Linked DNA regions of Cricetulus griseus. The main gene of each other region encodes a partner of the protein of the gene in region 2 in a complex. Links are inferred from orthologs where the notes say so. Each region holds a gene or a part of one and is shown on either strand. Other genes may lie near its edges.

The links.
Region 1: Pigq (region 2) and Pigc share a complex: the UniProt entries of both Homo sapiens proteins name them as parts of the glycosylphosphatidylinositol-N-acetylglucosaminyltransferase (GPI-GnT) complex. The link is inferred for Cricetulus griseus from reciprocal best matches to the Homo sapiens genes PIGQ and PIGC.

Annotation. Positions count from the first base shown.
Region 1 is NC_048598.1:30,145,851-30,151,023, reverse strand, and holds Pigc (phosphatidylinositol N-acetylglucosaminyltransferase subunit C), read left to right. Parts: upstream 1-1,798; intron 1,799-2,241; coding exon of another isoform or gene 2,242-2,271; intron 2,272-2,386; coding exon of another isoform or gene 2,387-2,458; intron 2,459-2,619; 5' UTR 2,620-2,832; coding exon 2,833-3,726; 3' UTR 3,727-3,997; downstream 3,998-5,173. Other genes in the region: CUNH1orf105 (uncharacterized protein C1orf105 homolog), read right to left, coding at 274-359, 1,391-1,798, 2,242-2,271, 2,387-2,458. UniProt on the Homo sapiens protein: Part of the glycosylphosphatidylinositol-N-acetylglucosaminyltransferase (GPI-GnT) complex that catalyzes the transfer of N-acetylglucosamine from UDP-N-acetylglucosamine to phosphatidylinositol and participates in the first step of GPI biosynthesis.
Region 2 is NC_048600.1:45,551,058-45,555,735, reverse strand, and holds part of Pigq (phosphatidylinositol N-acetylglucosaminyltransferase subunit Q), read left to right. Parts: intron 1-1,882; coding exon 1,883-2,009; intron 2,010-2,252; coding exon 2,253-2,406; intron 2,407-2,521; coding exon 2,522-2,633; intron 2,634-3,057; coding exon 3,058-3,138; intron 3,139-3,626; exon of another isoform or gene 3,627-3,663; coding exon 3,664-3,778; intron 3,779-4,678. UniProt on the Homo sapiens protein: Part of the glycosylphosphatidylinositol-N-acetylglucosaminyltransferase (GPI-GnT) complex that catalyzes the transfer of N-acetylglucosamine from UDP-N-acetylglucosamine to phosphatidylinositol and participates in the first step of GPI biosynthesis.

The DNA.
Region 1 (5,173 bases), on a different chromosome or scaffold from region 2:
TTGAAATTTGAAGACTGGAAACTAAAGCAGGGGAGGGAAAGATATGGAATGGTTTTGAGAGCTAGTATCTAGGGTTGGATAGTGGAGGCAGAAAGGAATGTTATGCGGGCCTCATCTCCTCTGGCAAGGCCTTCATGCAGCATAACCTTTGTCTGAGAATGCCAGGGCATTTCTGAGTTTTGTGCACTTGACCAGGTTTTTCCACCCACCACACCCACCTCTCCCCCTTGAGATCTCTCTCAAACGCTTTGTCCTCAGAAGCTGGGGGATTACCTTCCAGGGAGGCTGAGTACCAAGGGCTTGTTTACCAGGCTGGCCTCACTAAGCCAAGGAACCTTGTCAAATTTTGGAACAAAAGCCTAAAGAGAAAGGGAAAGAGATAGTTTTGCATAAGTTATCACACTTATGAAAAATGAAAATAAATGTTAAAATGGGTCACAGGACTGGAGAGATGGCTCAGTGTTAAAAGCACTTTCTTCTCTTTGAGAAAATCCAGGTTCAGTTGATAACACGCACTATCCATTCACAGCTACCTGTTAACTATAGTTGCAGGGGACTTAGCACCCCCTCTTATGGCCCCCACAGGTACCTGCTTTCAGGAGCACATACTTACATATGGACACATGTGTAGATAAAATTTAAAATGAAACATTAAAACAGAGTTAAACACTTGACTAGTGCTAGTTCTGTGATAACCAAAGTAAGTTATTAGCTATCACATAGCAATCACCTCTACAAAAATTTGTACATGTGAGTCTTTCAACCGTCCCATAAAGTGGCCAAGAACAAATACGTGCCTCCTCTGGTTTTTAAACGAAGAGTTCAAAGTGACGACAGTGTAAGTTCTTCTAAGCGACACTGCTAATAAATGGGTTCATGCTTTCTGACTTTTGTGTCCACTATATCCCATATTCTACATATTTTCAGTTCTTTGTACTTAACGTCTATTTCTAAATTCTGTAATATTTCCATGAGCTCAGCTGAAAACCAGCCATCTCTTGTCCCAATCCTCTAGCCATGTTTTCAGACCCAAGGGCCTCCACCCTCCTCACTCTCTTTGGGTGGCAAACTCTGGGAAAGAATCGAGTTGTAGAGCCATCCACATTTGGACATTTGATCTAGTTGCAATCAGTATACAGCTGCCTGACTTTGGACAAATATAAACTTGTGATCACATCGTCTCTGTGGAAGCCAATGCCCAGAAAGCGCCATGAGATCTATACAGTTGTTTTTGTTTCCTCTGTGTAGTTAATGCAGCACTAGAAGCCTGGGTTGGCACCTCTGAAGGCTGGAACGCAAGAGAAGTCCCTTAGCTGAGGGCCTGACAATAACATAAGCTCAACATCTGCAGCTGCTACCACTCTTCCACCAGCTCAGAATCTATTCCTGCCTTCTCCTCCCTTTGAACCCTGGAGGAGCTTCCTTTTCTTCCAGGAGCAGAGATCGCACTTTGAGCCGATCTCCGGGAGAGAAGCAGCCAGTAGAGGGCAGCAGCGACCTCGCGGTGTGCTGTCTCCGTGAGCGCCGCTTTGGCGGCGGAGTGGTGCAGAGCCGGAAGTGCTCCTTCACAGCGGTACCCTCCAACCCCGCGCCCCGGATGTAGAAATCGCTGGGCGGCTGCCCTTCTCAGTCGTGCACCCCTAAGAGCTCGGTGCAGGTGGGTTCCGGCATCCTTCCTGTCTGGCTGGTACCGCTGAGCTAAGGCTGGGTGGGAGACAGGCGGCGGCGGCGGGCGGGGCAGGCCGGCTGGGTGAGTGACAGCACAAGACCGGACCCTTCCCTGTCCGCTGACGCGGACCTTTCAAATCCAGAGGTCCCTGTGCGTGAGGGTAGACTCTAGGGTGTCTGCCAGCCTATCCTGGCCTCCGTAGAATAAAGAAAGGTCCAGCGGGGAGTTTTTTTCCTCCTCAGTTTTACTTAATGACCTTCGTGTTTCTGACTCTGAGTTTTCCCTTCTGAAAATGGAATGGTTATCTATCCCGCACTGGAGTTTTGCTGTTTCATTTAATTAGAATGATAAATCACTGTAGAGGGTGGTAAGCTTAGTTAATGAACAAAGAAGGCTTGAGTTCTTGGTTTGGGCTAAAACTGTAGCTATCACGCCCTTCTGTATTGTGCAGATTATTGTTGTCATGAGATCTAGAACTTAATTCGATGCCTTTGGGAACCTTGTAACAGCTATGGATTGTGTTCCTATATTTGCGTATGTTGCAAATACAAACATGCAAAAATAGTACATACCTTAGGTGTGAGAACGCCAAAGTTGACTGGCTTTAAGGAAGATAATGAGAAGCACAAACTTTGATACTAGATTTTGTTGGAGTTCTGGCTCCATTGTTACCCTGGGACATAAATACCCAACCAGTGTGAAACTCAATTGTCTTACTAGGTAAAGTGGGACAGGTACTAACTTGTAATGTTGTGTAAGATATTTAGCATTCTGAGTCAGTGATGTCATGCAGATATGAATTGTTAATATTATATTTTAAATGTCTCAAATTATGTCACTTCGCACAATTGATTTAGGCTTTCATTAAACTGAGTTGTTTTGTATTATAACATAGTCCTACCATGACCTTTTCGAGCTTTCATATATTCACAGATCTCTCTTTTTCTAAGAATTTAGCTGTGTTGTCCTGCCTCACAGAACACCTCATCTGCTGCAGGCCTAGCTAGCCTGGGTTGCAGCCTTTGTAAACAAGGAAACATCTGGAAGGTATCAACATGGCATTTCCATAGAGGTCCTAATTTGTAACTGTATCAAGAAGGAGAATTGTGTGGACTTCTCTGAGGGAGATCCGACCAGCCTGGATTTAAGGGAAGGATGAGATAATGTGTGCTCAACACCTAACGGACACCACAGAAGTCAAGTGGCAGAAGGTTTTATATGAACGGCAGCCCTTCCCCGATAATTATGTTGATCAAAGATTCCTGGAAGAACTCCGGAAAAACATCTATGCCCGGAAATACCAATACTGGGCTGTGGTATTTGAGTCCAGTGTGGTGGTGCAGCAGCTCTGTAGTGTCTGTGTTTTTGTAGTGATCTGGTGGTACATGGATGAGGGTCTTCTGGCCCCCCAGTGGCTTTTTGGGACTGGACTGGCATCTTCATTGATTGGGTATGTTTTATTTGATCTCATCGATGGAGGTGATGGACGGAAGAAGAGTGGGCGGACCCGATGGGCTGACCTGAAGAGTACTCTGGTCTTCATTACATTCACTTATGGTTTTTCACCAGTGCTAAAGACCCTGACAGAGTCTGTCAGTACTGACACCATCTACGCCATGTCAGTTTTTATGCTGTTAGGCCATCTCATCTTCTTTGATTATGGTGCCAATGCCGCAATTGTATCCAGCACACTGTCCTTGAACATGGCCATCTTTGCTTCTGTTTGCCTGGCCTCTCGTCTCCCCCGGTCACTGCATGCCTTCATTATGGTGACATTTGCCATCCAGATTTTTGCACTGTGGCCCATGTTACAGAAGAAACTGAAGGCATATACCCCCCGAAGTTATGTAGGGGTCACTCTGCTTTTTGCATTTTCAGCTTTTGGGGGTCTTTTGTCCATTAGTGGTGTGGGAGCCATACTCTTTGCCCTTCTGCTGATTTCCATTTCGTGTCTCTGCCCTTACTACCTCATTCGTCTGCAGCTTTTTAAGGAAAATATTCATGGGCCTTGGGATGAAGCTGAAATTAAAGAAGACTTGTCTAGGTTCCTTAGCTAAACTAGGGACCTTCATTCCATTATTACAGCAAGCCAAAAGACCTCGAACCTAACCAGTATAACACTTAAGGGCAGCGGGCTGATCTGGATGGTAGAACAGAGAGCAGAAGGAAACGTTTAACCAAGGGCTTAGGGGAAGATGTTTGTCCTTCAGTTATTTTATGACTGAAAAAGCTTTCTGGTGCTGTCTTGAATTATTGTCCCTCTTTATTCCTTGTAACAAATTATATAATGTGGGCTCTGCTTATTAAAAAAAAGTAATACCCATTGAATTGTCTCATATTTTAAAAACATACCCTTTTTATATGCATGAGAGGGGGGGAGAGAGAGAGGAGAGAGAGAGAGAGTTGGTTCTCTTTCCAGTATGCATGTCCCAGGCATTCAATCCATGCCTTGGGAACAATGCCTTTACCAGCTAAGCCACCATACTGGCCCTGTCTCATAGTTTTTCTGACAAAAGTGGTATGAGGAGTAGTAGGTGTGTGTAATCAGTTGTCTAGCCTTTTCTGTGTACTGAGGGACACCTCTATATATTTAGAGCCCAAATTTGAGAATTCAAGAAAGTAGTATCCAGCTTGTTGTCCAATACCACAGAACCATTTTAGTTTTTAGTGGATTGTATGTATAGCCAATAGAGGAGAGTTATTCGTCATAGAAAGAAAATGTTAGAGACAGTGAAAGACGCTGGAGAGAGTGAGTTTATCTGAAGCAATTAGGCTAGTGGATGTGGCAATTAGGCAACAAGAGGTGACATTTACTCTCGGAGGACAGCTGGCAAGAGAGCCCTTGAGAGCCAGATAAGTGATGTTAGCCAGTGAGGGCAGTTGCTACTGTCGAAAAAACGATTGTTTCTGCTCAGTTTGGGCTTCATACCTGCAGAATTTCCAAGAAAAATGAATATTACAGTAGCTGTGAATCTGATCTGTAATATGAAATATGCTTTGTAAGCTGTGTCAAATTTAATCCAGGTTACAAGAACATTTGCAGGCAAAACGTGACTACATTTGATGCCACATCCACTAGCCAAGGCGCAAAGATGGGGCCAGGATAGAGATTTAGAGTTACGAGATCTGGGGGAGGAAAGAAAGTCAGTGGAGCCTGAGTAAAGGTTCAGCTCTATTGATACAGTCCCATGGGCTCCGTATCCCGTGGTGGGCAATCCATCTTGTCTAAAGATGGGCTAAATTGAAGTCTTGAGTCAGCTAATTGTTCAGTTCTCAGTTTGCATCTTTAAGAATTGTGGCAATTAGATAAGCTGTGTGTGAAGTGTCTTGAAGAATGCCTAAGGATGCACAGTATTAGTGCCGAATATCTCAAATGCAGAATTCTGAAACCGAAAATGCTCCCAAATCTGAAAGGTTTTGAACATCAGTGTTACGCCTTGTGGAAATTCCACATTCTATACATTCTACATTCTACACGAAACCTTCATGTTTAAAATTATTTAA
Region 2 (4,678 bases):
GTGGTTCAGGCTTTCATGGGCCCCTTTTCCATGTTGGGCTGATCTTCCAGATGAAAGTCAACCTTAGGACACCTCGGTGCTCTGGGCTGTTGTTGGGCTGGCCAGACACTACTCCCAGATTGCTCTTATCCTGAGAACAAGAGGCACAGGCCTGTCCTCTGTGCTCCCAGTGTTCCCCTGCATGGTGTGTGCAGCATATCATGCTGGTCCCTTCCTGCTCTTCTGGCCTCCTCCACCTCCTCATTTCCACCCAGCCTCAGAACTTTTCAGTTCTGCATCTCATTTTCAGTAGAGCCAAAGCCCTGTCTCTCTTGTGGAAGCCTTGAAGGTCTCCCATCAGTGCAGGCGTATGTCAGGTCTGCTTGTTTCCAGGCTGGGAACCTGGGAGCAGCAGTGGGTTCCTCTCGGCTACCTGAAATGTAAGCTATATGGAGGGCATCCCAGTAGGAAAGTGGTTGGGTAGAAGGGGTTAGGCTGTTTCTATATTCTGTTTCTTGGCCAGCTTTGTCTGAATTCTTTTTTGCAAAATTACTATATATATATATATATAAATATTTAATTAAAAAGTGGAGTCTCTTTCCGCTGCCAGGCTTTTATCCTTTAAATATTAAATAAGCCCTATTTATAAAGAAGGTTTTGCTGTCTTCCCTGGTGGTCCTAAGGCTCTTGCACAGGGTTGCGAGAGGCTTTGGAAAGAGCATATAGGGATACAGGAGTTACTCCTGTGGCAGCCAGGTCCAGTTTTCCTGCTTACTGTTGAAGTCCCTGTGCTCAATTAATTTTGTCTTTTCTCTGAGTGCCCTTGCTCTCCAGTGCTCCAACCTGCTTCCTTAGTCCCTGGTTGGTTTGACACCCTCTCATTCACCCAAGGTGGCTATCGATTGCTGGGTGGCCTTAACCTCTGGTAGCAAGTGGCAAGGAGAGAGGTCTTGACCAAGAGCTTCAGTATTCTCAAGTTCCCCTGCGTTGTTTGAATTGAGCCAGGGTCAATCCAACCTCAGCCATACCTAGGTATCGTGGGTTTAAGGCCTTATGGTTCCAGGACTGAAATGGCAAGATAGTGAGCATGAAGGAAGTTCTCAAGTTGAGGTAGATATCCCGTGGGGACACATGCCCAAGGAACTGGTTTATGTTGGAAGATGCTTCAGAGCAGGATCTTAGAAATAAATGATCTGGGGCTGGAGAGATGGCTCAGAGGTTAAGAGCACTGGACTGCTCTTCCAGAAGTCCTGAGTTCAATTCCCAGCAACTGCATGGTGGCTCACAACCATCTTTCATAAGATCTGGTGCCCACTTCTGGTGTGCAGGCAAATATGCCGACAGAACACTATATATGTAGTAAAAATAAATAAATTTAAAAAAAAGAAAAGAAAAAAAACATGTAATGTAGGTTGTTTAAAAATAAAGTGCATTTAAATTTAAAGAAAGAAAGAAAGAAAGAAAGAAAGAAAGAAAGAAAGAAAGAAAAAGAAAGAAAGAGAAGAAAGAAAGAAAGAAATCATCTGTGACCAGGGGTCAGGGGTCCAGTGGCCAGGCGAATTTGGGAAACATTGCTTCTATGCAATGTTAGCCGACAATGATTTGCTGGGCATGGTGGTGCACACCTTTAACCCAGCACTGGGGAGGCAGAGGCAGGCAGATCTCTGTGAGTCTGAGACCAGTGTGGTCTACAGAGTGAGTTCTAGGACAGCTGGGACTACATAGTGAGACCTTGCCTCCCCCCACAAAAAAAAGGACAATGATTTGAACCTTGGAAGAAGTGGCTGCCCTTACCCAGCCCAGATAGACTGGCTATAGTGGGAGCCCATTATGGATAATTTTCCACCCACCCACTTACCTCAGTGTGACCATGTCATCCCTTCCCTGCCCCATGTCTCTGTAGCGCGTGGCTGAGGAGCTCCAGCATCTGCTGCAGTGGCTGATGGGTGCTCCTGCTGGGCTCAAGATGAATCGGGCACTGGATCAGGTGCTAGGCCGCTTTTTCCTGTACCACATCCATCTGTGGATCAGTGAGTGCCTGATGGGCAGGGTTGAGCAGCCCAGTAGGGCTGATAGAGGAGAACAGGAACCCTAGCCAGTCCCCATCCCCTCTGCCTCCATTTTCTAGCCTCCCATTTATATGAAGCAATTGTGTCGGGCCAGTGGCTGGGTCTGTACTCACTGGTGTCCTGAAGTGTTAGGTGCCCATTCTCAGGAACTGGGGCTCACTGTGCCTCGCTGGGCACTACTCATAGCTGAACTCCATCCTGCAGGCTATATCCACCTTATGTCCCCCTTTATTGAGCACATCCTGTGGCATGTGGGCCTCTCAGCCTGCCTAGGACTGACTGTTGCCCTGTCCATCCTTTCCGACATCATCGCCCTCCTTACCTTCCACATCTACTGCTTCTATGTCTATGGTGCCAGGTACGTATTTACCCAAGTGTAGTGTTCTAAGCCATGGGCACACAGCAGGGTCTGAGCAGATGGGTGAGGCGTGGCACAGGCTCCCAGCTGGCCCTCATGAGCCTGTGTCCTACAGGCTGTACTGCCTGAAGATCTATGGCCTCTCCTCGCTCTGGCGTCTGTTCCGGGGGAAGAAGTGGAATGTTCTGCGCCAGCGGGTGGATTCCTGTTCCTATGATCTTGACCAGGTACCTACAGCTTTGAGCCTGCTGACCTTGTCAGGGCAACTCCTTGGACACTACCAGTGACCAGCCTACTGTAACTATCCTCTGACAGTTGGCCTGGGGGGAGGTGCCAGCAGACCTACACATACTTTGCTCAGGTGGGCATAAGGCCTGATTTGGCTTATTCCATTTGCTCACCCAGACCTGATATGCACTTTTTCCTAACCTCATATTTGCCTGTATACCCTGCTGGTTATATCCCCACAAGCCACCAGGTCCACAAGGTATGTGGACACATCCCTCATGGTAAAGGGATCATGCTGACCCTTGCTAGCACAGGAGGCCAAAAAATCCCAACAGCAGTTTAACGATGGGTGTGTGTGGAGAGTGATGGAGTGGCCTCCCCTGGTTTTGGTCTTATAATACCAAGTGTGCTTGTTCCCCACAGCTGTTCATTGGGACCTTGCTCTTTACCATCCTGGTCTTCTTGCTGCCTACCACCGCTCTGTACTACCTGGTATTTACCCTGGTGAGTCCAGTACCTCCTGTTCTGGGACCTACAAAACTTGGACTGGTCACTGCCTGAGCCAGTCACATGGGGAACGGGCCATCTATCTCTTCGGGTCACATCACTGTGGCTGTTCTGAACTCTCTGGGAACTATATGCTGGTCTTAAAGCAGTTGGGGGGTCCTGCCCTGGACTGGGCTGGTTACAGAGGAGGTCAGGCCCCATAGTGGGTGGATAGAATCGTAGAGGAACAACACCAGGCTGGACAGTATGAGATAAGTGATCCCCAGATGGCTCAGGCCCTCTGGGTTTGACCTGTAAGTGTTGGGAATGTTAATACACAGTTTCTGACTAGGAAAGAGTGCCAGCTGCTCTGCTGCCAGCTCTTTAGTCTCTTTAGGGTGGAGTCTATGTTTTCCTTAGGGTTCCTGAGCCTCTGGTCACCCTTAGTGAGTATAGCTCAAGAGCCTATTGGGCTGCTCTCCTCTTAGTCTGATGTGTGGCTTCAGCCCCAGTCAGTGGCCCTGAATGTGACCTTTGCGACAGCTCCGGCTCCTGGTGATCACTGTGCAGGGCCTAATCCATCTTCTTGTGGACCTCATCAACTCCCTGCCGCTATACTCCCTTGGCCTTCGACTCTGCCGACCCTATAGGCTGGCTGGTAAGTGTTGGGTTCAGGGTGGCTGGCTTCTAACAGATGGTACAACATACCCATAGGCCTTGCAAAAGCACCTGTGCCAACCTCATGTGTCTCCTGCCTGAAAGAATTGGTGGATGTGGCATGGGTGAGCAGAACACAGTAGAGTAGAAGATAGACTTGGCCCCGGGAACATGCTGTCTGCTCTGTCTCCCTGAGAGTATATTTCAGAGACATAAAGACCTGAGGCCTCATCCTTCCTGTAATATGTGAGTCTTGCTGCAGGGTCTGTGCAGGGTATGGCTCAGAGCAGTCTATCTCAATGAGGTTATAGGCTATATGTCTGCATTTTTGATGGCCCTCACCCTTGGAAGCAGGACAGAATGAGGGCTGCTAGACTGTGCCAGGCTCATCCTGCACTGCCTATAATCATCATCTAAGCTGTTCCCCTGAATCTCTGGAATCCCCTGATTCCAGAGTCCTTGAGGGAAATCTACGTCTTTTAGACATGATGTTGTTTGTCTCTGGGGTTTTGGATACAGCAGGGGCCTCAGGATTACCTGATATAGCCAATGTTCACCTCTAGTTCAGGTGATTTCTAAGGTGACCAGTATGCCCATTTGACTTCCAGCTAGCTCAGAGCCATTTGATAGGGATGTGCAGATTCCTTGGCTTTGAATCAATATCTAGGTCTGCCTGCAGGCATCGCAGTGCTACTGAATGCCTATAAAACATTTTGAGAACATCCTTCTAGCTAATTTCTCCATTAACTTCAGGAGGCCCAGGCCAAAGACTCATTTACAATGTTGCACACATACCCTCTGCCTCCACTTCTTCACCTCAGACACAAAGACAGGAGGGCCACAGTAGACCCAGATACAGCCTGGGATTCAGGGCCTCTTCCTCCCTAGCCTGGAGCCAATA